2 linked regions of the Drosophila melanogaster genome follow. The protein of the gene in region 2 interacts with the protein of the main gene of each other region in a biochemical or structural test. Each region holds a gene or a part of one and is shown on either strand. Other genes may lie near its edges. The genes, in order: slo and Slip1.

Region 1 (11,375 bases), on a different chromosome or scaffold from region 2:
CAATCTGCCGCCCACTTTCCGCCCACTTACAACCCACTCCGCAGTGGGTGAAAGTGGAAATGTGCGCGCTGTTTCATCGATTTTCCTTCTGGTAACATTTCCCTTTCAAACGGCTTCTATCCTGGCATTTGCCATATTATTTACTGTTATTTGTTGTGGTTCCTTGGGCAAACGCCACCCACTCCTCCACTGACTCCCAACCAAAAGCATATGCATACATCATTTCCTCGCAGCCCGTTTCCTGCTATTAGCCAAAAGTTCAAATTGACTACAAGAGCGACAGGCATTTTCATTTATTTTAGCCATAAAATGAAAATGTGAATCAATTTTAAATAAAATATACAAAAAAAAAAATAATAAACTAATAAAAAAAAGTAGCATAGTACCGCAGGACGAGGGCGAAACTATCGATAAATATGCCAGACACAACTAACCACACGGCGGGCGGTCGGAAAATGGGAAATCGGAAAAGCGGGGGGCGCGTTTAATGCCAAATGTGAGCACATGCTACATGGCAATGCGCGTTCCCCACCGCTGTGCCATTGTGCGCCAGTTGACAACGAGGCAGCGTCGAACTGCCTGGCGAGGATTTGGAGGATGGGAGGATGCGTGGTGCAAGTTTACGGATGTCCCACCCTTGACCCCTTACAATCGTCCAGAGCTTGTCGCTTTTGTCAAAGAATCTAGTTCACTCGAGAACTTACAAATAGGCAATCAAAGTTTACTTGTAACGAAGCTTATCGTACAGAGAATAATATGTTCAGCAGAAATGATATACCAATTTCCCATGGTTCATGAAACAGCTGCTACAATATATTCTAATTTATTTATAACTAAATAAAAGCTTATATTTTTTATCATGGAGTACATTTATACACTCAAAGAGGATTTACCATGTCCCTCCCACCTAAAGACGCCCAGACAAATGCAAATATTCAGCTGATAAGCTCGCACTCAATGTGTCGGCAACATCAAATCTAGAAATACTTATCGAGCGCATTAAACCACAATGCCCAATAAGACCCACTAAATTGCCGCTGAGCCAGTGTGAGTAATTAACTAAGGCCAGTTAATGGATGGGTCGGTACGCCATGACGTATGCGTAATATTTGAACAAGTAACCGTTTTTCATCGCTCTGTTGTGAGGGAAGTGGGGCAAGAGCCACAAAACCATCGTAGTTAATTCGTACGCAGGCAGAGTTTAATTGAAATGAACCCTCGAATTGCACCCACCTCCCGCTCAATTTGTGCTCATGTATTTATTGTACGTGGAAATGGCGCATTTACTTTGCTGCTTCCGCTGTTGACACGAAATGCTTCCCCCGAATCCACCGCAGTCAGCAATCGCAAACAAATTACACACGCAAGTGGCAGCCAATGGTGGCATAGAGTCGATTGTGCCTGGAAACTGCTCCAAATGCAAGGCGATGGCACTTTCGCCAGCTGCAACGATGGACAAGGACACCTTAGTGTTTTCCTTGCTACGGACAACCATATACCCACTCGATCCCTGAATAATTCATCGGCTTTTGGCATTCAAAGAAATGGCACTTGCAGAAATAACTAAGTATTTGATGGCATGTGGGTTGACTTCGTTTACTGAACTTCAGGGAATGCATCTCTTGCAGTAAATATACTGTCTTGAAGATTATACTTGATGCATACCCAATAACCCGCCTTTCTATTTAACCAAAACAAAACTAAATGATAATTTAAGCTTATATATGTTCTTAATTTCGTCCTTCATGACAGAAATTATTGTCTATATATATGATAAGGTCTTCCCATATAAAACTTTTTTTTAAGAAACATTCAATGTAGTAACAGACTAGTAACGAAAGGCAATCTACAAGTTAAAAAATGCTCCTTTTTGATTTTTCTTTAATTCCATTATAAGAAACCACCAATATTTCCCGCAGTGTGGCAAATGTGACCATATGCTCGGGCCACTTTCCAAACCATACGAAGAAGGGGGCTCATAAATGATAAATGGACGACGTCCAATGTGGAGGGTACTCACCAAAATTCGACCAGTTGTTGTTTGACCCGAGATAAGCTCTCCAGCCCAGTCTTTCGCTTCTGTCATAAAGGTGCCCTCGAACTCCTGTTTGTTGCGGGATGCCTTCTGCTCCTTCTGCTTGGGGTCGTTGGGCCCCAGGTCCGGCTCCTTGCGGCAGCAAACGAATGCGAAGGCTCGCCATAGCAGCACCACGAGCAGGCCAGCAAGGAATGTAAAGATGCTGGACAGCAGAAAGCACCAGTACTTGCGCACCTTGAGACAATCATCGGCGTCGAATGGTGAATCTGTTGGATCGTCGGCCAATGATTCGACAGTGCTTTGATCACACCCCGACATCCCCTGCAATCACAATATTCGAATTCGAAAAGCGTTAGCAATTAGTTCGGTTGCAATGGTCTAGCAATTAGCTAACTATAATTAGCATAAATCAATACGATAACTGGCGGAAACATTGTTTACGTCATACACTTGACATTTGAAATCGGCGAAATGCCTTCTATATATGAAGACACTCGGTCGCAATCCAATCGTACACATATATGTATATACTATACTATACTCTTCTCAACTTGGCGACGCTGGCGAATGTAAACAAAATTTGTGCCTGGCCAAGGGTGCGCATAAATGAAATGAGTTCATGAATAAATGTCTCTAGTTTGCTTAGCCGAAAAGAGTATTCATTTGTGCACACAACAAAAAGAAGGCGAAAAATAATGTCATTTTACATTTTTATGAAATATGCAGTTTCAGTTGGTTGGTTACTTTATAAATCTAACTTATGTGACACAAAATATTTTTTATATATAGTGCTTTGTGGATTACTTAAATTTAATATGTGGCTTAAAAAAAAAACAACCACATGTTATGACTTTTTTATGACTTTTTCTTATTTTAATTACATAAATAAATTGTAATGAAAAAGTTCTCTCTGTGCATAGGGTATATAGTGTGTTCTATGTACAATCCTTACATTTGCCAATGTGCTGCTGAAATTGGTGTCGATCAAACCGCTTGCCATTTTGGCTGTTTACATTGCGACACTCGAACACACAAACGCTGTCAAATTAATATTGCCACTATATTCGTATTCGAATGGCGTTCAAGTGCAGTCGAGTGCCAGGCTACTAGAGTGCCAGAGAATAGAAGACGCTGGGAAATCCGAAAGATACGAATGATCCACCAAAGATCTCGGAACACCAAAGGCCTCAGCCTCACAATGCGAAACGGAACGAAAACTTGGCCCGTCTATTATAAATAGCATCAAACAAATCTGTTATTTTTAAAGTGATCTTTTTCTCCGACACACGCACGGCGACAAAAGTGCTCATAACACTGGGCAAAGGCCGACTACACAGCACCGATCTTACGATCCATACAACCAAATACCATAACTACATATATACATATACTACAATCTGGTTAGGATTGTGGTTATGGCCTGCATTCATTAGGGATTCACTGGGTATTCACAACTTGCGGCCAGAGGCCAACGCACTCATTCGGTGAATCACTGCACATACGCATGTGAATTTGCAATTTGTACGAATTTTGGGGGTGTAGACGGAGCCACAGATATACGTATAGTATATGCCGTATATATTATTATATATATATATATATATGGCGGATGTCGCACACACGACGCGGCACGCACGCGATTTTAGTCTAGAGTCTAGAATCGAGCTGAATCAAAAGGAGGCACCGAGCGAACCGCACAACTGGCGTCCACCAACTGAACGAGCCGTTTTCCAATTGCCCCAGTGCCATCGGGACGGTTTCAACGATTACAAAGAGCCCGCTCCTATCTATCTATATCCCCTTGGAGGCTACAGCTCTCCATCCCTCTCTCTTTCTGGCTCACCCACTCTCCGGCCATCTCTCTCGCTCTCCGGCGGATTGTATGACTATACGGGCATTTGGCTATATGGCTGACCGCGAAAAGTGTCAGTACGGGCGACAAACTTGAATTTAATTAAAAGGCAGAGCGCCAAGACAAGGCGAATTCAATTGGGTATTGGAATAAAGAGGATATACCCTAACTGTTGTGTTACAACGAATTCGAAGGACCTTTGTAGTTTTGGACACTCGAATCCTAAAGAATTCGAAGGATTACTGAATAAATAGTGAAGAGTAACTTTTTATTTACAATATTTGCTTGTCCTTTAATCTTAAGTTAGCCCAGTAAAATGTTCTATCAAGCGGTACATATAATAATTTCTAGTTCCGCTTATAATCTAACGATATTTTTAATTTGTTTTGTACAATTTCATGTTTGAATGTTTAATAGAAAAAGTTCGATTGATGCAAATATTGGTGGAACCCTTGGCAAGGGCAGCCAGCAAGTGTGTTGTGTGTGTGCGTGTGTGTTGGCCACAATGAATTATTGTTACAAGAAGAAGAGACAACGGCAGGCCGAGTATAAATAAATAAATTATGAGTTCGCTTCTATTCGCTTTTTCATTTTGGTTTTGTCTCTTGTTTTGTGCTCTGCGCCTATACACACACTTTTTGCATTCCTTCTTCGGTGACCCCATGGCCCCCCGGGCAACACTCGTTCCCAAAAAGTGGCTGGTGGATCCAGTGGATGGGTGTATAGGTGGGCGGGAGGCAGGTTAACGTGAACGTTAACGTTACTGCCATTGCTTCAGTTAACTCGGGCGAGTCACGCCATGCCGCCAGTTAGCTGTCGTTTCATAATTTACGCGCTTTGTTTGCTATTTCCTGCGGGGGCAGCCGTGGTAACAAGTTGGCCCAGTTTGTTTGCACATGCCACTGCCGCTACTTTCCACTACTTTCCACTACTGCCCCACTGGCCATAATTGCTCATCATCCCTTAGCCCTCGCATCCCTGCATTGCTATCCCTTCCCATCATCATCATGCTCATCATAAGCCAGTGGCGTGCATTTTATTTATAGTTTTTATTTCAGTATCGTTGTTTTTTTTTCACTGCTCTCTATTTTTTTGCGATGCTTGGGCGGTTAGGTTCTTCGCTTCATTGCATTTACGCAATTATAAATAGCGAAGAAGAGCAAAATTGTTATTCAATTAAATATTTGATGACTATTTTTAAGCAGCATTCACCTTGAATTTAAGCATTGCGTATACGTAATATTTACGAAACTCAACATTTGAGCTAAGGATAAAAGGTTTCTAAATTGCATTAATGTTTTGTAATGAGGTTTATAATAAGTTATTAATTTTAAAGTTAAAACACAATGTTTTTTTTAAGCCGAAATGGGTTACTCTTTAACCTTTTTGTTAAACTTGAGGCCTTTGTAAATACTATTATTTTTAACTCAATTAAATGCACACAACTGGGTGTTAATTTGTAATTCGCAAAGCAAACACACTCACAAAATTGGATTGAATTTAGAAGTGGTATCAAGTTTCCTTTAAATAAGCACATTCAAACGTTTTTTTTTTTTTTTTTTGAAAATTTCAGTTGCTTGCCTTTTTTTTTAGTGTTTGGATTAACTTCCGAGCACTTTCATCGATCCAAGCGAAACTGCAGTGGCCGGCGTTGAATAAATTATTTATAACATGAGAAGCACTGGTCGCTCTATATTCTTTGGCCCAAATGGAGAATGCTTTTTTCGGTCAAAACGCCTTAACGGGCTCAGAGATACTGCGCCAAGTCGATGGAATTGGTGGCGCCTTATGAGTGCGGGTGGAAAAGATAGGGAACGATATAAATTATACCACCAGGCCGATTTCCCTGTCATTTTGCGGCCAGAAACGGATGAAGTCACACGGCTACCGGTGGCTAGATAATAATTTTCATTGCGAACTATCGATTTTGGGGGGCGTGGGCGAGCCCCTGACCAGCTAGCTCTATATATCTTGACGCATGTCCGTCAAAGCGAAACGCTCGAAAGGCACAAAGACGGCGACAACTGACGAAGCTGACAAATACCCTTCGACTTTCTGAGCAATTTATGGCCAGCACTTGGCCCGCTGATTGGGTCCGTTGATTGCCGGCCACTGGTCTCCCCAATCCCCCATGTCTTTTCGCTTTCCCATCGGACATTGGACATTGGCCAAGGCCAAAGGGCTTAGGCTGCACTTGGTCGGTGTGTGTGTTTGCACTGGGTTCTTTGTGTGCCACATTCACAAAGGTCACGCGACCCACTGCGAATGGGTTGCCAAAGTGATGTGAATCCCATTTATTAAATGGAGCGAAACGAATTCAAAGCAGGAAGCGAAATATACGATCGCATAATTAAGATTAGATTGTGGTATTGGGTTTCTTAAATTAAAGTGAGCTTAGCATAAACTATTCTTGAAGAAATGGAAAAAGCGTTTGTACCTAGTAAATAAACTGAGCCATTTAACTTACTAAGTACTGATAAGATTATGTACATTATATATATTTACAACAAATTTTACAAATATCTCTCGATTACATTATCGTTTTACACCAAGTTGTACACTTAATTAACAGAAATAAGGCTTACATTTTAATGATATATATAATATAATGAGCTCGCTCCTTTGGATTCAAAACAAAGTGATAAGCTATTGGATTAAAGATCACTGCCTTTTATATGTTCGAAGTAGAGCAAAATGTGATAAGAGTAGCAGCGTCTAGCACTGCGAACTATCGCTGGAAAAATGACTGATTGATTGATGATTGATTGATTGACGAGCTGGAGAGATAGGTTAATCCCAGTAGTCCGTATACAGATCATTGCAGAGCCGCTAACGTGACTTCTACAATTTCAGATGGTCTTTCACAAGCGAGGCGTACGAATATGTATCTGTGGATTTATCACGTACGACATCAAGGGCTTTACCTTTGGCGTGATGGGCGGATAGAACGGTGGCAGTTCGTGGCAATTGGGGCACCAGCTGGCCATGTTCGTTCCGGTTTCGGTCCGGGCGGACCGCTTGCTGATGTGGTGTTGATGGTCTTTCTGGATTTCGAAGTGGATCTTGCGGCTGCTACGGCTTTCCCCTCGCTATCCGTTCTCATATTCGGGTTTCTATGCGGCACAGTGTATGGATGTTGTGGTGGTGGTGCAATCGAATTGGGATTTGGAACAGTGTTTTTTGGGCGAATGGATGAAGGACTGGGAGTACTCACCTAGTACTGGCTAAACCACCGAGGCAGGGCTCCAGGGCTGCCAACATTCACACGCTCAAATCGCACATCAATGTGTTTGGACGATTTGTGGTCGCTGCGGCTCGCCAATGTTGCACGTGGAAATTCTTGGGCTGGCTGGCTGGATTTTCCTCACTGGCTGATGGATTGCGGCTTGCTGATTATTTCATAATTGCATTTCGGATCCGTGGATGAGTTTCATTGTGTTATCAGCTGCGTTAAGCTTATCAGTTTCATTGTGCGTTTTGGTTTGTTTGCTTCTTTCTTTGCCGTCTTGATCAATAGTTGTTCGTTCTTTTGAATTTGAATTGGAATTTGGTTAAATTAGAAACTGCGCTTAGTCACACTGCTCATGTTTCCTTTCACAACTTATTTAGCTTTGTTTGCCCACGAAATTTTTCCTTGTGTGTTAAGCTGCAAGAGATTTATTAAGTTGAGCGATAATTTAAATACTTTTTAATTTGCCAAGGCAGCGCGACGAACGCGGTAATTAATTATATTTTTTAGTTAGGCTGTCAGCGTTATTTGCGTTTTTAATTTTTTTACGACCGCAGACATTTGTCAATGATATTACGTATATATTTGTATTCGTATATATATTCTATTAAATTAATATTATTTTAGACATTGTATCACCATTTTCCGTAGCCGGAAAAGCAAGCGTGTCAAGTAAATAAATAAATAAAGATGCGAAGCAGACTTGAAAGCAAAATCAGCACTATTCTCGCCGTTTTTAAATTCTCAGTTCTCGGAGAATTCTCTGAGAATTTCTCTCAATTTCTCACAATTGCTGCTGGCGTATTGGCGGCTGCGCGATGCAGGGAATCCGAAAATTGTCGGGCAGAAAGCTTTTTCCTTGCCTGCGAAAGTCGCACATTTTGGTTAAGCATACGCAATGTGGTACCAAAAACTAGAATTTTTGGCAATATACAACATGCTTTACAATTATCACTTTCGTTTGCATGTTATTTGTATATGATACATTTAATGTCAAACTTGTCATTGGTAACTTTTTAAGTTATTCATTTCCTGCCCGATTAGCGAGGCTTTGCTGTCCTGCGGACGGACTCGTTCTTTCGCCTGCGGCATGTCGTTGAAACGGAAACACACTGCCCTAGTTTTTAGTTCCCCTTCGTGTCACACACACACACTCGCACACCCGCAGGACACACACTTTCATGCGCTTAACGAGCTGCCTAATGTGCCTGCAAACAATGGAAACGGGACAAATGCCGAGTCAAATGAAAGTTGCATTTTCATAATAAATAAGCAGGCGACACAATTTCCCACGGCACGCCAACGGGCGGAAAATACAGGGGGCTTGGAAAATGGGCATTCGTGAGCCAATGTAAACAGAGCTTAGTCCTTCGTCCTGGCCGCGCATTGAACTCGCCTGGATTTGGTGGCTTCATTTGTAGGTATCTGGGTATCTGCGTATCCTGGCGCACGCACACACACACCCACGCTCGGCCAGTGACTGACTGACACACATATACCAAGGTATCCTGCGACACACGAAGGACGACGAGTAGGAAGCAACAAAAATAACATTGACGATGACAGCAGCGGCAAAGGCAGGGGAACGATACAAGTGTATCTCCGGCCTGGAACATCGACTTTATCATCGGGTCGGGTCCCTTCGTCCTTTCGTTTTGGGGAACTTGTGGTGTGCTCGTTTTAAAAACGAACGAAAAACTGTGCCGTATGCGCATGTGTGTGTGTCCGTGTGTGTTGACTTCAACAAATGTATCTTTTAAATGAAAACCTGCAGCAGTGCCAAAAAAAAAAGCGAAAAACTGTATTTCTAAAGAGTTTTCCTTTAGTGTTGCTCGTTGGTCCACTTCTTAGCTCCTTTATGTATGCAACACTTTTTTCGCAATCACAATCGCCGTTTTATGGGCGAACACACACACACACACTCGGTCACTAATTAATTGAATTTCCTGCGTTGTAAGTGTGTGTGTGGCACATTTTCACGTTCACTGAGCCCGTTTTCAACGGATACCGAATTTTGCACAATTGCCGTTCCGCAAATGGCCACGATAATTGCCCGGATTTTAAGACGTTTTTTGCTCAATTTTCCCCGTAATTGGCAAACGCAGCTTGAAAATTTTTCACATTTCCAAGTGCTGCAGCTGTGTGTGTGTGTATGGGTCCCGTGAATATACATATACGCGATAGGCACTTTTCCACACAGTCCACTCACTCACACACCCAGAATAAAAGACGCGACGCGCTCAAACGCGAGGACCAACCTTTCTCGTCAGCAGCGTATACAATTCTGCGCGATGTCGACTCCGACGACATGGAAATCGGTGGCCCAATGTACTTCCGCACGGCCCAAGCTCGTCTTTGGGAGCTTTTCGGAGTCCTGCGGTTGGTGCGGGCTGGACGCTTCGTTCGATTCATCAAAACTGGCGCCAAAACCCATTCACTATGAATGACCCAGTGCCGCGGTGATGGTGATGATGATGGTAATGGTGCCGATGCAGGTGCAAGTGAACTTCCGCACGATGCACACGTGGCGTATGAGGAATGTCGGAAGAAATTCATTGCATACTTTTGGGACGGGTGCACAAATGCATGTTAAATGAGATAAAATAATGGCAAATAAAAGTACTATGCATTTGTATTCTTGTATCAATGCTTAAATTAAGTATTATCAATTGCACTATATTTTATTTAACTTTACATAATTTAACAATAAATATTCTAAAACCATTGTTTCGATTATAAGATATTATGTTAGCTGTAGTTACCAAAATAAGTATAACAATAAATGCTATTTATTTTATAAAATATTTATCCCTTCCTTTATTTGATTTTATTTTCTGCAGAATTGTCAATTCAAAACTCTTCAATCGCATATAACATCGATTGCAAGCTCAGCGATTTTGGATTTGAGCTTATCGATAGCTTCAACGATAGTTATGTCACCTGGGTTTATTTTGGTCTGAACGATCGAAGCCGGCATAGATTTTTTCGTCTGCAAACCAGAACTAGTCTGAATCCTCTAAGGGATTCGGGAGCAACGAGAAGCAGCAGAAGGACCATGACGACGGCCGTGCTGGGAGGCGGATTGAGTGGACTATCCGCCGGATACTACCTGTTGCGGCGATTCGGGAAGCCGCTGACCATCTACGAGGCCTCGCCCCGTGTGGGCGGATGGGTGCGGTCGGAGAATCGCAAGGATCGCAACTTCATCTTCGAGAGCGGACCGCGAACCATACGCCCAGTTGGTGAGCCAGGTGCCAATACGCTAGAATTGGTGGAGGATCTGAAGCTGGAGGTGACTCCCATTCGACGCAGTCATGTCGCAGCACGCAACCGAATGCTGTATGCCAAGGGACAGCTCTGCATGCTGCCCAACAGTCCCAAGGGTCTCTTCGGCGTCCTGCCTCCCTTCACGAAGCCGCTATACAAAGCGGTTCTTCGCGATCTGTTCACAGCAAGCAAGAAAGCGAAGCTGGAGGATGAGAGCATCTACAGTTTCGCTGAGCGGCGGTTTGGTAAGGAGATAGCCGACTACGCCATCAGTCCCATGATCTGCGGTATTTGCGCCGGTGACGCGCGAGAAATAAGTGTGCGCTTCCTGATGGAGGGGCTCTTTGAAAAGGAACAGAAGTACGGAGGAGTGCTCAAGGGCACACTCATTTCCCGCTTTGAGAAGAACAAGACCAAGGACACCAAGGATGGACTATTTGCCGAAAGACAGCCCAAGCTGTATGCGCAGGCGGTAAAGGAGAAGTGGGCCATGTACGGGCTGAAAGGCGGTCTGGAGAACCTACCCAAAACTATGCGAAAGTACTTAGGTGAGCGGGATGTGAACGTGCAGCTAAGCAACGAATGCCGGAACCTGACCTTCAGCAGCTCCGGGGTTCGAATGAACATCAAGGATGCCGAAGTTCCGGTGGAGCATGTGGTCAGCTCCCTGCCCGCCTACAAACTCGCGCCCCTGGTAAAGCAGCAGCATCCCTCGCTGAGCGCCCAACTTTTGAGCATTCCGTACGTGGATGTGCTGGTAGTGAACATGCAGTTCCCCGGCAAGCTACTCAAACAAGACGGCTTTGGATTGCTAGTGCCGCCAGTGGAAAAGTTACCTCTGCTCGGCGTCATCTTCGACAGCTGCTGCTTCGACATGGGCGAGAACACTGTGCTTACCGTGATGATGGGTGGCCATTGGTTCGACCAGTGGTTCGGTGATCGTCCAAGCCCCAAGCAGATTCTTGACTTAGCCACCAGCCATGTGCAGA
Region 2 (14,108 bases):
CATTTTCAGTACTCTAGTGCATATGTAGAGAAGTCATTGTACAATACTTAGTATATTCGCGTGTCTTGTACCCTATGTGTAGAAATACAAGCGAAAAGCTGAGAACGTCACAAAATGGAGATCTAACTAAAACCTACCAAACAGAAATTAGAAATTAATATCTATTGCCAGAATATGCGTTTATAGTAAAATTGAACACTTGTGTATACGCTAATAGTTCACCGAATATTTGCAACAATTTTTGCCTTTACTGAACGAGAAGTTGATTTTCTCTATATATGTAAATATATGTGCATTTTTGTGTGTATGCATGTCAAGCCACTTTGACGAGTTCACAAAGTGTGTATGTGTTGTAAAACATACACACATTCGACAATCAATTATAGTTTTTCATATTTCACAAAATAAACTGGGATTAATAACAATCTTGAATGCGAAAACTGATTAGACTCAACAATAATTATAATTCGATGTAATTGAATATAAATTTCTGCGCACGTTCGACGATGGGGACGGCAGTTACTAGTGTATTAAATAAACCCATACAGATATTCCTGCTTGCAATATTGCCACCTAGTCAAAATTTAAAGACGGAATGGAAAGGTATGTGGAGTATAGACTAATGCAAATATGCAAAATGCTTACTTTATTTTTAATTACACTATTACTAAATTTTAACTGTTGGTGTGGAAAACCTCAAAGCAAATGCGACACATTTAAATTCCCTATTGCTTTGTCATTATGTAAAAGATTTAAAGCGTGGCAACTCTTGACTGGAACATATGTACATATAGACTTTTCCAATGCACGATACACAAGCGAACAGAATTTATTCTGCACTGATACACACATGCGTATGTCCGAAACTAAACGCTTGGGTTTTTGCGACCATTTAGGTTATGCACACTTAGGTTATGTCAGAAAGTTTCGCTTTTAATCGTACTGAGTACGTCTTCAACCATACATTAAAATTATTCTACTTCAATTTAGCTGCATTACTCCGTACATTCTATCCGTGGTGGGCTGTTGGCAATCTTTTCGTTTTAATGACAAAGCGCTTGTTTTCGAAAGATTACGCACACAAAAACATTCACTACTCGTGCTAATTCATTTTAACACACGCAATTTAAATAAAAAGTAACTATACGATGCTCTCACTCGCACTTCGCCTGGATCACGACAGACTCTTCTAGGTAGATGTCCGATATTTTCTTAAACTAATCGATATTAATCAATCTTAGGTAATACCCAGTTTACACAACTGCCTAAAATAAGTGCTGTGACCCGTTCACATCGAAGAGGTCAGATAGAGGGTACACAACAGAAGGATTAATTGATTAAAATAAATTAGCTGATATAATTTAAATTAATTCAAAACAGAGCTGTTTCAAACAAGTTCCAACTCATATAACTCTCGACCATTTCTAACAATTCAAATGAAATTTAAGGGATTAAAACAATACAGTGAGATAACATATGCATTAATAAATTTTAAAGCTTGAATGCCTTATTGAAGTGAGAATTGAAACAGGTTTGGGCAATCCATTAAATTCATAACTTATTTTATTAAGTCTATGTTAAAAAAGAATCCTTAATAATGTAATGTATAAAGTTTGGACTTACGACCGATTAATATTAATGTGTATGTTTTGGTGTTTTGCCTTGAAATCAAATGAAATTATGTTCTAAAATATCGGCTCTCCTTCGACTATCTATGAGATTTAAATAGGTTTTACCAATTGCTAAGAAAATCGAAACCCTTAGGCATTTTTAGTTCAGGGGATAACAGTTTTGTATTTTCGTCTTGACGTGCATCTTTAAATTCGTTTTCATAATCAGACAAGTCGTTTAACACACTGTTTTTCGATCCACATTTAACGAGCAGTTGCATTTTCTCATTAGATTCAATACATTCATCAATATAAACAGTTTGGGTTTTTGAGAAGTTTTCATGAATGGAAATCTTTCTTTCCGTTGTGTTAACGCCGGTTTTATCATTAGAATTAAGGTGGAGAATTGGTATTTTTTTATTGGTTGAATCTTTTGTCTTCAATTTTAAATGAATGGCCTTTTTTACGCCTAATGGAGTTTCAACAAGACAGATATCATCAAATTCTTTTAATACTATGTTAATTTGTGATTTGGTTCGATAAGAAAATGGAAACGAATGTTCATCTTGAAAATCTCCGGTGTTTTCATCGCGTAATATTTTTAAACCAACGTTTTGATAATTATATGTGTGTAAATCTTGGCCGTTATATAAATATACAATGTCTCTGAAACAAAATTTACGGTAATCATTTTTACTAACTTCAGTATTTTCGTACGGATCCTGTGCCGCATAGTTTTCTTTAGTCTTATGACAGTACTTAGAAAATATAACAGGATCTATTAATTGGTTATTCAATATTTTTTCCTGTTCGTTTAAAGTCAATTTAAGCCAAGCGTCTTGGTTGTATGTAGATTTAACTTTATTGAGATCGCAGGTAATTTTTTCGGAAATTGAATTAAGACGTGAGAAGTATGACTGAGCCTCATCGTGTGTTGTCATTTTTGATCTGAAAATAAATATGGTTTGCTGTATTAAATGGTTAGCGGAACGTTAGATTCTATCATAAAATCGAATAATTATATTAACCTGAATTCTTGAAAAAGTATTTATAATTCTTTTATACTCTTCACTCGTAAAGTAAGGGGGTTATTAAAAATTAAAAAAGAACATAACAGGTGAACAAAAAGGTTTCCGAGACTAGTTAATGAACTTCGGGATTTGGACACTATATGATGTCCAAACCGAAAACAAATGCAATAAAAAAGAAATATATAACCTTAGAATCAAATTAGCCCACCTCTCCTTTATTTACATTACTAATTTTTGGTAGCCAGAGGAGTGCTTCCCGACATTACAACATTCATAGGGGCAGACGGAAGTATCAACTCGGATGGGTGTTTCTTTCTAATCTAGACACATACATATGTATGTATATACTACATAGGGTTTATGTGTGTTTAAATTGATATGGGCGTTACAGTTTTGAACGATTTGTAGGTATTTGGTTAAAATTGTTTTTGGCAGTTTTTGGGCGGTTCGTGGTCGTTAGAACAAGCGTGTAAACATTTGGAAACATGTGAGTATAAAATGGGATCGATGCGTTCCTATTACATACATATACTTTCTATGATCGGAGACGGTTTCTTCTACCAATTACATACATTGCAGCGAATCTAATACATATACGATTTTACTTTACAAGTAATGGGTATAATATAGGAAATAAACAAAAATCGGCAAGCCGATTTTTATATGCTTATACTGAATAATATCTATTTATGATCACGAACAGAAAAAATTTGACTTTTCCAAGGCATATGGTCGAAAACTGTTCAATACCGAGATAAAACACTTTCTAACAAAAAAGAAGATATGTATGTATGTTCCCCTTTGTCGAGGTCTTTCTGCCATACATGTAGTATGCATAGTATCGGCAACAGAAAGGCTTTTAGAAAGATTTAGTGAGAAACGGGCGTACGGATATGGCTATGTCCACCTGGCTCTTGACACTTCACATTATTTAGGATATTTTTACTGAAGTTTAAATTTACTATTTAAATAATAAAAATTACTGCGATTTCCCGTTTTAACCATCATACAACCTTAAATACGAATTGATCCGGCTATTTAAGCTCTATATAATTGTATATGTGTATGCTTTAAGAAATACGCATCCATCGATAGATCAAGATAAAAGTATCGGAAATAAATTATTATATTGTGTTCACACAGTTAAGTCACTAAGGCCATTTCCATTTCATTTACATAGCACAAAATTGATACGAAACGACAAGAACTTCAATGACAGGTGCGTATCAAACAATAGTGGTTACAAAAACCATTCTATAGCAACTCTTTTTAGTCAAGGGGCACCTCCGCTTTTCGTGGTTATCAATGCCTAAGCCATTGAAATATTATATTATATTATCAATTTCATTACATCAACTTCAACTTTATATTCAACAATATGAATTGAAAATTGGTACAGTCTGAAAATATGCGTTTATACGAGCGGATAATTTTAATTGCTATGATTTCTCAATCCGTTAACGGTTTCCATTCCGTTGCGAGTTATTAAACGATTACTTAAGAGAATCGATTACAATTTTTATCAAAAAGAATACGTAAATGATATAAATGAAAACAAAAGGTTTGGCCACACTTTCGAAAAAATATGTATACAATTAAATGAAAATAAATATGAGTTTTGGATTTTAAGCATCACTATGAGTATTGCCGACGTGGAGTACGAATATGTTGTGTTAAAAGTAAGTTCAATATAAAGTAGGACTAAGAACCGAGTTCTCGTTTTACCATAAATAGTTCCATTCGTGTGAAATCTGTTTTTTAGCGTTTCAAAATGCACATATTCTGTTTCAGATAAACGGTTACGATATTAGTCATTTGTCGAGGTATGAAGCGGTTCAAAAGTTCCTTCAATCTAAAGAAACCCTTGTCGTAGAAATACGCAGACAGAAACACAATGCATTAGATTTAGAATTAAAACATGGCTCCAATGCCAAAATATCAAAAGTGGACAATCCCGGAGAACTTTCTGTCCTAACTGACAAGTCAGCAGAAGGGACGATCACAGCTGCCAGTGCCTCTCAACAAATAAATTGCCCATCTTCAACATCGTTGAAAGAAATCGAGACGAAAACTCCTGTGGTTTTAACTCTTCGGGCTAGAAGTCATGAGGATCGTTTGGGAAGTCTACAAGCCGCATCGAAGGAAACTCAAACCCAATCTGTCGTTGGTACGGACGTTTTAAAGGATAACGATTTGGTTAACACAATTACCGACAACTTCATAGAGCATGAACACCATTTGTTCGAACAATGCCTGGAACCGGAAATCGACATTGAGGTATTTACCATACATTACTACAGCAGTACCACAAAACTGTTCTGGTCTGTCTTCGCGATGTGCGATGGCGACTTCTCTATACACTTAAGACCCATTCTATGCTTATTTAATGCAAATACAAATTGCGTTTGTATGAGCATTTGTGTAGCGTTTGCTTGGGCTGCGGGCCCACATTCAACCCTTGCCCTTGCGAAGTGCAGAAATTTTAAATGCTCATATTCTCCATATGTACATACATATGTATGTTGCAGTTTTGTTATATTCGTTGAGGAGAGACTATATACCAACACAAGCCATCTGTAGACTTTGAATGATCGAGCGGTCGGACGGGCATAACAGTTATTATTAATATTCACAAAGTTTATTATTAAAATTTTTTGGAGTTGTGTGTACACTGTCACTTGCTAAGTATTTGCACACAATGATATTTAAACAAATTTCGAGAAAGCAAAAAATATCAAATAAAATAAATAAAAATTTTTGGAAGGTATAAGGTGATTGCCTTTTGTACGCCAGTGGTTTATTTACTCTCGCCGTCTACATAAATATTATTGAAACCGATGTATTTATAACAGATCCTAAAACTGTCAGTTGCTTAGATATGTGTGTTGGGATTCAAAATAATAGTATTTTTTTATAATCAACAGGAAGTAACGCTTGTTAAAGGTGTTGAACAGTCAAGCAGCAATCAAATCGGGCTCATTGTTACCTCCTCCGGAATTCAGCAATCAAGTACCGACACGAATAAAGGTGACATACTAGGTAACGTTTTAGAACATAGTGAGGATGTGTTCATCAGTGGTGTACAACCGGAAAGTATAGCCTATCGTGATGGGCGCCTGCGACAGGGGGATCAGATTCTTCGTATTAACGGCTTGGATGTTAAAAACCAGGAGGAGTTAGAAACTCAGATAGCCAGGAGTAGTACATCAGTAACGCTACTAGTTAGTCGAATTCTATACCCTGTAAGTCGAAATTTCTAATACCAAAAAAAAATTCCCAAATAAACACTTAGTTCATAACTATAGTAAGGGGTTATACCACTGTAGAATTTAATACGCTAAAAAATGCGCACCATTAAATTAAAAAAAATATTGTTCGTTCTGGTTTTTAATTTAGATCCGATTTCGACTTGTTGCCTCAGAGTAACCGCCTTCAATCTCGTAACTTAAAATCATGGTTTTGTTTGGAGTATATCTTTATATATATATTTACCTTACGGTCAAATTCGCATACGCTTACTAACGATTTTCCATGAATCCTCAAACTCGTTTTATAAAATATGTGCTTAACCAGGTTAGTAATACTATTAATACCCACATTCCATATAGATGAGATGGGTGTTGGGACTATAAAGTCCATAGCGATATGTATAATATTTGAAAAGTCAATAATGTTAATGGTAAATATTTTTGTGATTGTATTCTTAAAACAGACCGCAGTGGGAGTTGAGAATTTGTAGAAAAATATTATTTATTTATCCAAAATAAGTGCCTACAGTTGTGTGACCCATTGATAACCGATAAAACCATTTTTATTAATCAAAGTATAAAGTTTAAAACTGTAAATATTTTAACTAGCTGCAATATTTTGGAACAAATTTTTTATAGGAAGACGATGATGACGAAGATATACATTTTGAGTATGCTAATACATTTCTGCCAGATGACTATACAAATGTAGTGGATAAATTGGATAAGGTTTTGTTAACTCACGTCAAGTCTTTGGAAGAACTATCCAATAAATCCGCCATGCAATCTGACGAATGCTATCACATACCAGAAAAGAACTCATCTGATTCAAACGTTAAAATATCTTCTTTGGCGAAAAATATCATTGAGCAATCTACCAAGTCCTGTAGTAAAATAAAGCTTCGACCGAATGCAAACTTGGATTATAAAAAAAAATTCAATCTACCTTTAAGCCAAGAAGAAGTTCATCTGCAATATGAGTACGATGAAAGCGAGCACATTTACGAAACCATTCCAGAAGATTCTGAAAGTGAACCAGTGTATTGTTCACCGTACCAACGTTCAAACGACAAGACGTCAATAGGTTGTTCATCTCCAATAGCATCGAGACCGGCCGAATCATTAGAAAGAACAATGCAACAACAAACTCAAAGAGTCGCCCAGTGGTTGGGCTTGAAGCCACAATACCAGAAAACTAGACAAACTCTAGTTGGTCGACCCCCGCCGTTGAAATTAGTACAGCAACCTACTTGTAGTCGTGTTTTTACATTGCGTAGCACCTTAACCAACACAAGCGCATCCAGCAGTAGTGGAGTGGCATACAGCTCTTATGGACAAAATAATGTTGTTACAGGGAACGCCGCGGCTCCTGGCGAAGAGGTCGATAACTCCTCAAGTGCCTACAACACTGGTGATTCTAATAATAGCGCCTCCCCCCATCAAAATACTACAAATCCTGATGAAGCCATCGCCACTGGTCGCAAGCTAGATAGTACTGTTATTGATAGCCCCAATGATCATTTGGATGCCACAGGTGTAAGCACTATGTTGCTATTACCATTCGGCAAGTCTGGCCGTATTGGTCTCTGCTCTTCCAATCTGCCTACAGCGTATGTCAGCGGTATGCATAACAATTATATTTTAGTTGCAGATAGTACGTAGCGTCTGACATATCAGACGTGCTCCACTTTAAAAGCTCTTCACCTTTTACTTTTTAAACTTTGAATTAAATGGTACTAGGCTCGTTAAAAAGCTAGTAAACGGTTGAAGAAAATTTCAAACCCTGTAAAGTATAAATTCTTGATTACTAGACGAGTCTATCTGGTCATGTCCCTCTGTCCTTACGGATGTCGAGATGTCGGTAGATATAAAAGCTAGAAAGTTGAAACTAAAGGCTTATATTTTAACTGGAAAAGTCAATATGTTAATGATAAATATTTTTCCGATTGGATTCAACAAAAAGAGACGCAGTGTAGGTTGAGGAATTGTAGACAAAATATTATTTATCTATCGAAAATAAGTGCCTACAGTTGTGTTAACCATTGAGAATCGATAGAAACCATTTTTATTAATCAAAGTATAAAATTCAAAGGTGTAAATGGTTTAACAAATTTTTATAGGACGACGATGATGTCGAAGATATACATTTTGAGTATGCTAATACATTTTTGCCAGATGACTATACAAATGTAGTGGATGAACTTGATAAGATTTTCTTAACTTACGTCCGCTATTCAATCTGACAAATGCTATCATATACCACCAAAAAAACTCATCTGACTAAAATGTTAAAATATCTTTATTGGCGAAAAATATCATTGAGCAATCTAACAAGTCGTGTAGTAAAATAAAGCTTCGACCGAATGCAAACTTGGATTATAGAAAAAGCTTCAATCAATCTTTAAGCCAAAAATAAGTAAATCTGCAATGTGATTGCGCGCACACCTATGAGGCCATTCCATAAGATTCTGAAAGTGAACCAGTACCAACGTTCAAACAATAAGACGTAAATATATATTATTGATTACTAGACGAGTCTGTCTGGCCATGCCCCTGTGTCCTTAAAAACGTCGAGATCTCGGAAGCTATAAAAGTTATAAAGTTGGGACAGCATGCAGTGATTCTCTCTATCGATATGTCAAAAAATTTGGACCCGCCCATTTTAACGCCATTTTAGAGAATGCTATAGTCAAGTTCCCCGACTATCAGATACCCGTTACTCAGCTAGTGTAAATGCGAACGCGAAATTTCATAATTTGTCTGGGATATCAATAAATATGGGGGAATACAATAAGAAAAAATTTTAAAATTTTTCAAAAGTGTGGGCGTGCATAGACGTTCATGTCCAGAACGACTCGCCTATTGACACTGATCAAGAATATATGTATATACTTTATATGGTTGAAACGCTTTCTTCTACCTGTTAGATACTTTTCTCCACGGGTATAAAACGATTTATCATTTTTGCCTTGATAAAAAAAATTCTGAAGCAATTAACATTTTCAAATTTGTGTAACATTTAACTGAACGTCTTATTATAAGATTTACAAACTGAAAACGATATATCGTGAACTTCATTTAATTACCATTAACATTATTCCACTTCAGAGCGGTATACCAACGTTGGGTCTGAAAATGAAATTCATCCACTTAAAAGCGACATTGAAATACTAAGAGTTAAACCAACTGATGATTCCTATAGTCATTGTCCACAGTTTAACGCCCCAAATTTGAGTAGTTACCACTTTGTTAGTAGTCAAGAGGTAAGTACAAGTTTAATGTATGTGCATATGGGGTAAAATGGTATTAGTAGGGGATTAAAACGAATGGATGACAATGATTTTAACAGTTGACGGTTAAATCTAAGATTTCATTTGAATGTTACACATCTTAATGAATTAAGTATCATCCATTGAAAATATTTTAATAATTTTCTTATAAGTGCATTTACTGAACGTTTTCTATGGGTTTAAAATTTAAAACATGTAAGGATCAACAGGTCAGGAAAATACATATTTTTACCACTATTTACTACTTTATTCAACTTTTTTCTAAGATCATTCCAATAAGAGATCACATGAAAGGAGGTTTTAAATCGATTTTTAGTGAAAAATTATGCATCAAAAAAAGAACAATTCTAAAAACATTGTACATTTTCAATAAAATTCAAAGGGCAAATATACCATATAAGTAGGCTTGCAAATCTATTAAATCTATTAGTATATACATGTATCTCATATTCCATCTCTCTCATATTCCATTGAATATATTTTTTTGCCCATATTCTATAAATAAAAGTTTTGATTACTTTTGTAAAGGTTGCAAACAGATGTCATATTTCAACAAGCTTACAAAAAAATGCTACTTTGCTTAACGGTGAAAGTGCTGAGGAAATACCCATGGTATGGAAGGTTAAAAGGCGACCAGATGGAACGCGGTACATAGTAAAACGGCCAGTACGTAATCGACCCCAAGTTGCATTGCGGAAAAATATGCGTTACAACGAGGTTACCACGACGGAAGACGATACAATATCTGAAGTAAAAATAGGTCGTTATTGGACAAAAGAAGAACGAAAGCGGCATATCGAACGAGCTCGAGAGAAGAGACATCATCAGACGCAGCAACAGCAACAATAGCCACAGTAACATTTTCCTTTTGTACCATTTAAAACTTACATAGCTTTAACAACAGTCTTAAGAACACTAATTGGATTTACTGTCGAACAATTTTATTTGATTGTTATGGTCGTCATCAAAACTTAAAGAGATTATCAAGGTGCAAAAACAAGATTTGTCATAATTCCACTTTAAAATTTTATAATCTAACATTTTTTGGTGTGTCCAAATTGAATTAAAACGTTGTTTTGGGGGTCGTTATAAAATTCAAAAACTGTTCCTATACAAGTTATTTGTTAAAATAATCCCTACAATGCGTATAGTCTTCGTTGATGCTGCCACGATTATTTACGGCATATTACACATGTAATTAATGAAATACTTTCAGTTAGGTATAACATAATAATGCAAGTAATTCTAAGGTATTGTTTATCTAAAATAAAGAAATCGTGAACAAAAACGTTGCTTTCAAATTATCTCATCTATCGAGGAACTCGACTATAGCGATTTCTCTTATTTTGATTTCAAAATAAAATAATAGCTTTCCAGGTCAAATACCTATTTACCAAAACTTCTTTTAACTTCTTTTTGAAATTTAAACTCATTTTAATACCCGTAGAGTAAAAGAGTATACTAGATGTATCAGGTAGAAGGTAGCGTTTCTCACCCCATAAAGTAGATATGTATATTCTTTTAAACTATGGAAGCTAAAATGTCCCGAAACAAAGACGGAGGGCAAGATTTTACCCTCATATTGCCACGCCCACAAACCGCAATTTTTTTTAGCGTTCAGCTAAAAACTTTTTCGAAGACTATTGTCCACAAGCTGCACAAAACGTAGTAAAAAGTTTTGATTATTTGTTTGTGTTATTATTTGCCTAGACAATTTCTATTGGTATACCAAGAAACCGCCCAAAACTGCCTCGCCCAATCTTTTGAAACAGTTTTTTTTTTGTTTTTTCCCAATTTGTATCGATATGCCAGAAAAACGTTAAAATTTATCGTTTTCACTTCCCCTAGCTGAGTTACGGGTATCTGATATCCTGGGATATCGACTATAGGATTCTGTCTAACTTCTAATCCCTGTCTAATCATGGATTCTGATTCGCAAAACAGATTTTCGTTCAACTTGAGATTTTTAGGATCGTCATTCCGTGTTAAGCAAGGGTCAAGTGTGCGCTATCTGTAGACTCATTCCGCATGCTCTTTTGACCTATTCTGTTGACTCTAGAGGGATTATTTGTTGATTTTTGGCGCATGATTTGTTTTAAATTAAAAAAAAACTACAAAATATGTGCTTATAATTTAGTTAATAGTCAAAATTCCCATAATCTAAATCATTGGTTCTCAAAAAATGTATTTGAAATTTATTGAAGTATTTTTATCTATTAATATTATTTCCAATGGGTGTTATATGTTTTACTACTTATTAGCTTACAAACTTCAGGTTTTAATCTAAGAGTTTCCTGTATACATAATTTTTGATACTTTGAGAACAGGGCCAATGTTGCACCGCAACTGCAATATCAATTTTGCTAACTCTTAAGCTATAAATTTCATACACATATGAAACAATAACTTTTAAGTACAAGAAGTAAGCTATTGCATTTATCAGAGCTCTAAGTGGTTCAGTGTCAATGGTCTATAATTAAATATTCCAATATACCGGCTCTCATCTCTGAGACATCGATAGTTGTAATATTTTTGATTGCATTCTTTATCGTGTGTTGAATGCCGGTAATGTCATTAAATTGAATTTGGTGTGCTTAATAAAATAACTGTTGCTGTGTCCTTTTATGACAATTTTGTCAGTACAGTTCATCTAAGGAATCGCTTTCCATATACTAATTAGCCTGCGTACCTCCACCCTCAACCCTCCACCATCTTTCCATACAAAAGGCGTGACGAAATACTGCCGGAATGTGTACCTGGGGATTCAAGTTTTCGAGTGTACACACGTAAATTTTGGGCCACTGGGCTGGCGTTGATAACAGTGTTATTTGTAAAAAATATATCGTGAATTTGCTAATTGATATTACCATGCGTTGTTAATGGACTGCATTTAGACAATAAGCTGCCCTATTTAGTTTAAGGATCGGCGCCTACATAACTATGTATTCATCGTTCATTTAGTATTAGGCGATGTGTGTTTTAGGGAGGGTATGAGAAGAAAAGAAGTTACAAGGGGTGAGTGACACAAAAGTTGTAAGTTAGGGGTTGGTCACGAGCGAGTTAAGTCCGTGATCGAGGGTGGAGCCTTTTGTGAAGATATGATGTGTAAATGTATGAAGGTTTTTAAGTTTCAGCAGATAGTTGTAGTGTGAAGATTTCCAATAAAGAATACGACTGACTTTCTTGAAGTTCAAAATCAGTGTGAAGTTTATTGTCAGAGAGTGGCTACTCGAGTCCTCCGTTTTCGTCTTATACATAAGTACATAGGTTCTTAATTGTAAGCATAATGAACATGCCGACTCGGCATGTGGCTGGCTAGCTGGGGACAATGTTGCAGTGCGACTTTTGTGTAATGTCAGCATTCGGCCGGAATGTCAGCATTCGGCCGGATGCGGTGTTCCAGTTGCCGTCTTCCCGGTTGAGTGTCCGATGATTTGTTTAGAGGCGTGGGGGTTTAGGGGGTGGGGTGGTAACTCCTCCCCCCCCAGTTCGAAGTGACGGCCATAGCGAAGGTATGGATGACGCGTAGATTGGTACGTGATGATCCTCGTGGATGTGGACGATGTGTTTCGTTCGTCGGTGCAGCCATAAGATGACTGCTAGGAACGTTACCAATCCGAGCAGAGTGTAGAGTGTCCAGGTGTGCTGTATAGTATTGTGATGGACGGCCAGGATTTTATCCATTGTTTGGGTGGCTTCGAGGTGCAGTTTTTCTAGGCTTAGTACCGTAATAGTGGTATTCCTAGTTACTTTTCGCATGGGGGGAAGATCAAAATCCGTCTGTTCAGGGAACGTGTCAACCGTGCCGTCGTAATCGATACCGTTAATCTGTATTGTTTCGTTAATGTATCTGATGATGGCTGACCCCATTATTGAGAGCTCGGAGCCGTTTGTTAGGGATACCTTCAGTTTGTTCACGTTGAATGCGAAGATGTAACCTCTCTCTGCCTCGAACACGTCGGTGATGGGGCCGGTTTCCCGTACATCGCAGGAACTGTTTTCTCCGTTCAAAAGGTGTTCCAGGCATGTGTTGTTCTGTGGTGTATCAACGTAGAAGTTCTCGTCGCACAAGAATGTATTATCCAGTTTGGGGCATTTACGGGTCATATGAAATTTCTTATTATTAATATTATAAGCTAGGTAATTTGGGGTTATTACAAAATATGTGTTATTTATTGGTAATGGAACTAGTCTGGCGAGGGTATGAAAAGGTTGTTTAAAAATTGGGACTTTGATATTAAAAATAATCTTTTGTTCGTAATTTAGTGTATTCATTTGTAGGAAATTGTATATACTTTGTTCATTTTTGACTGTGATATTTTGTTTTTCCAGTATTGTTTTTATTTTATCCATTTCTTGTTCATTTAGGATGAACTTGGGAATTATATTTATTTTCGCCAATAGCATACTTTCTGTTATGTCGTTTAGGTGGTTAATGAATAATTCTATGTTATAATTAATCCTATTTAAATATTGTATTTCTTCCAGAAGGGTATCTTGTAAGTTTAAGTGTTTGTATATTTTGTTTTGTGAGGTATCAAAGAATTTACTTATCAAAATTTGTTCATTATTTATATGGTCCGTGATATTTTCGAACCGGATAAGTATTTCGTTGTTAAACATTACTTGTTTTTGGAGATTGTCGTTACTGACTTCGGAATTTTTCTTTATATTGTCAAGTTCTTCATGTATTTCTTTATTGTCGTTGGCATCCATGTTGCCGGTAACCACCTTTACTAGACTCCCCAATCCGTTAATCAAACCCCGTTTGTTTCTATATGAAGGTGTAAGGGCTTTGAGCTTTACTTGGGCTTGGGTTAATTTGGTTTTTAAAATTGTGACGGAGTCCGTCAACGTGGAATCGGGGTTAAATTTATTAATGGTCAGATGGAATTGTTCCATACATCTGCTGTAGTCTTGTAGGTTGAT

The links.
Region 1: the proteins of Slip1 (region 2) and slo form a complex in vitro, tested with the Drosophila melanogaster proteins (one study listed by BioGRID).

What each region holds. Positions count from the first base shown.
Region 1 is NT_033777.3:24,660,525-24,671,899, reverse strand, and holds the start of slo (slowpoke), read right to left. Parts: upstream 9,410-11,375; 5' UTR 9,337-9,409; intron 7,537-9,336; 5' UTR 7,105-7,536; intron 7,004-7,104; 5' UTR 6,815-7,003; exon of another isoform or gene 6,476-6,814; intron 3,755-6,475; exon of another isoform or gene 3,039-3,754; coding exon of another isoform or gene 2,991-3,038; intron 2,360-2,990; coding exon of another isoform or gene 2,357-2,359; coding exon 2,021-2,356; intron 1-2,020. Other genes in the region: Ppox (protoporphyrinogen oxidase), read left to right, coding at 10,175-11,375. UniProt on the Drosophila melanogaster protein: Potassium channel activated by both membrane depolarization or increase in cytosolic Ca(2+) that mediates export of K(+). Its activation dampens the excitatory events that elevate the cytosolic Ca(2+) concentration and/or depolarize the cell membrane.
Region 2 is NC_004353.4:659,423-673,530, forward strand, and holds Slip1 (SLo interacting protein 1), read left to right. Parts: upstream 1-4,198; 5' UTR 4,199-4,278; coding exon 4,279-4,320; intron 4,321-4,432; coding exon 4,433-4,918; intron 4,919-5,565; coding exon 5,566-5,883; intron 5,884-6,528; coding exon 6,529-7,510; intron 7,511-8,997; coding exon 8,998-9,152; intron 9,153-9,707; coding exon 9,708-10,028; 3' UTR 10,029-10,462; downstream 10,463-14,108. Other genes in the region: CG46466 (uncharacterized protein), read right to left, coding at 1,733-2,551. UniProt on the Drosophila melanogaster protein: May selectively reduce calcium-activated potassium channel (Slo) currents by reducing the number of Slo channels in the plasma membrane.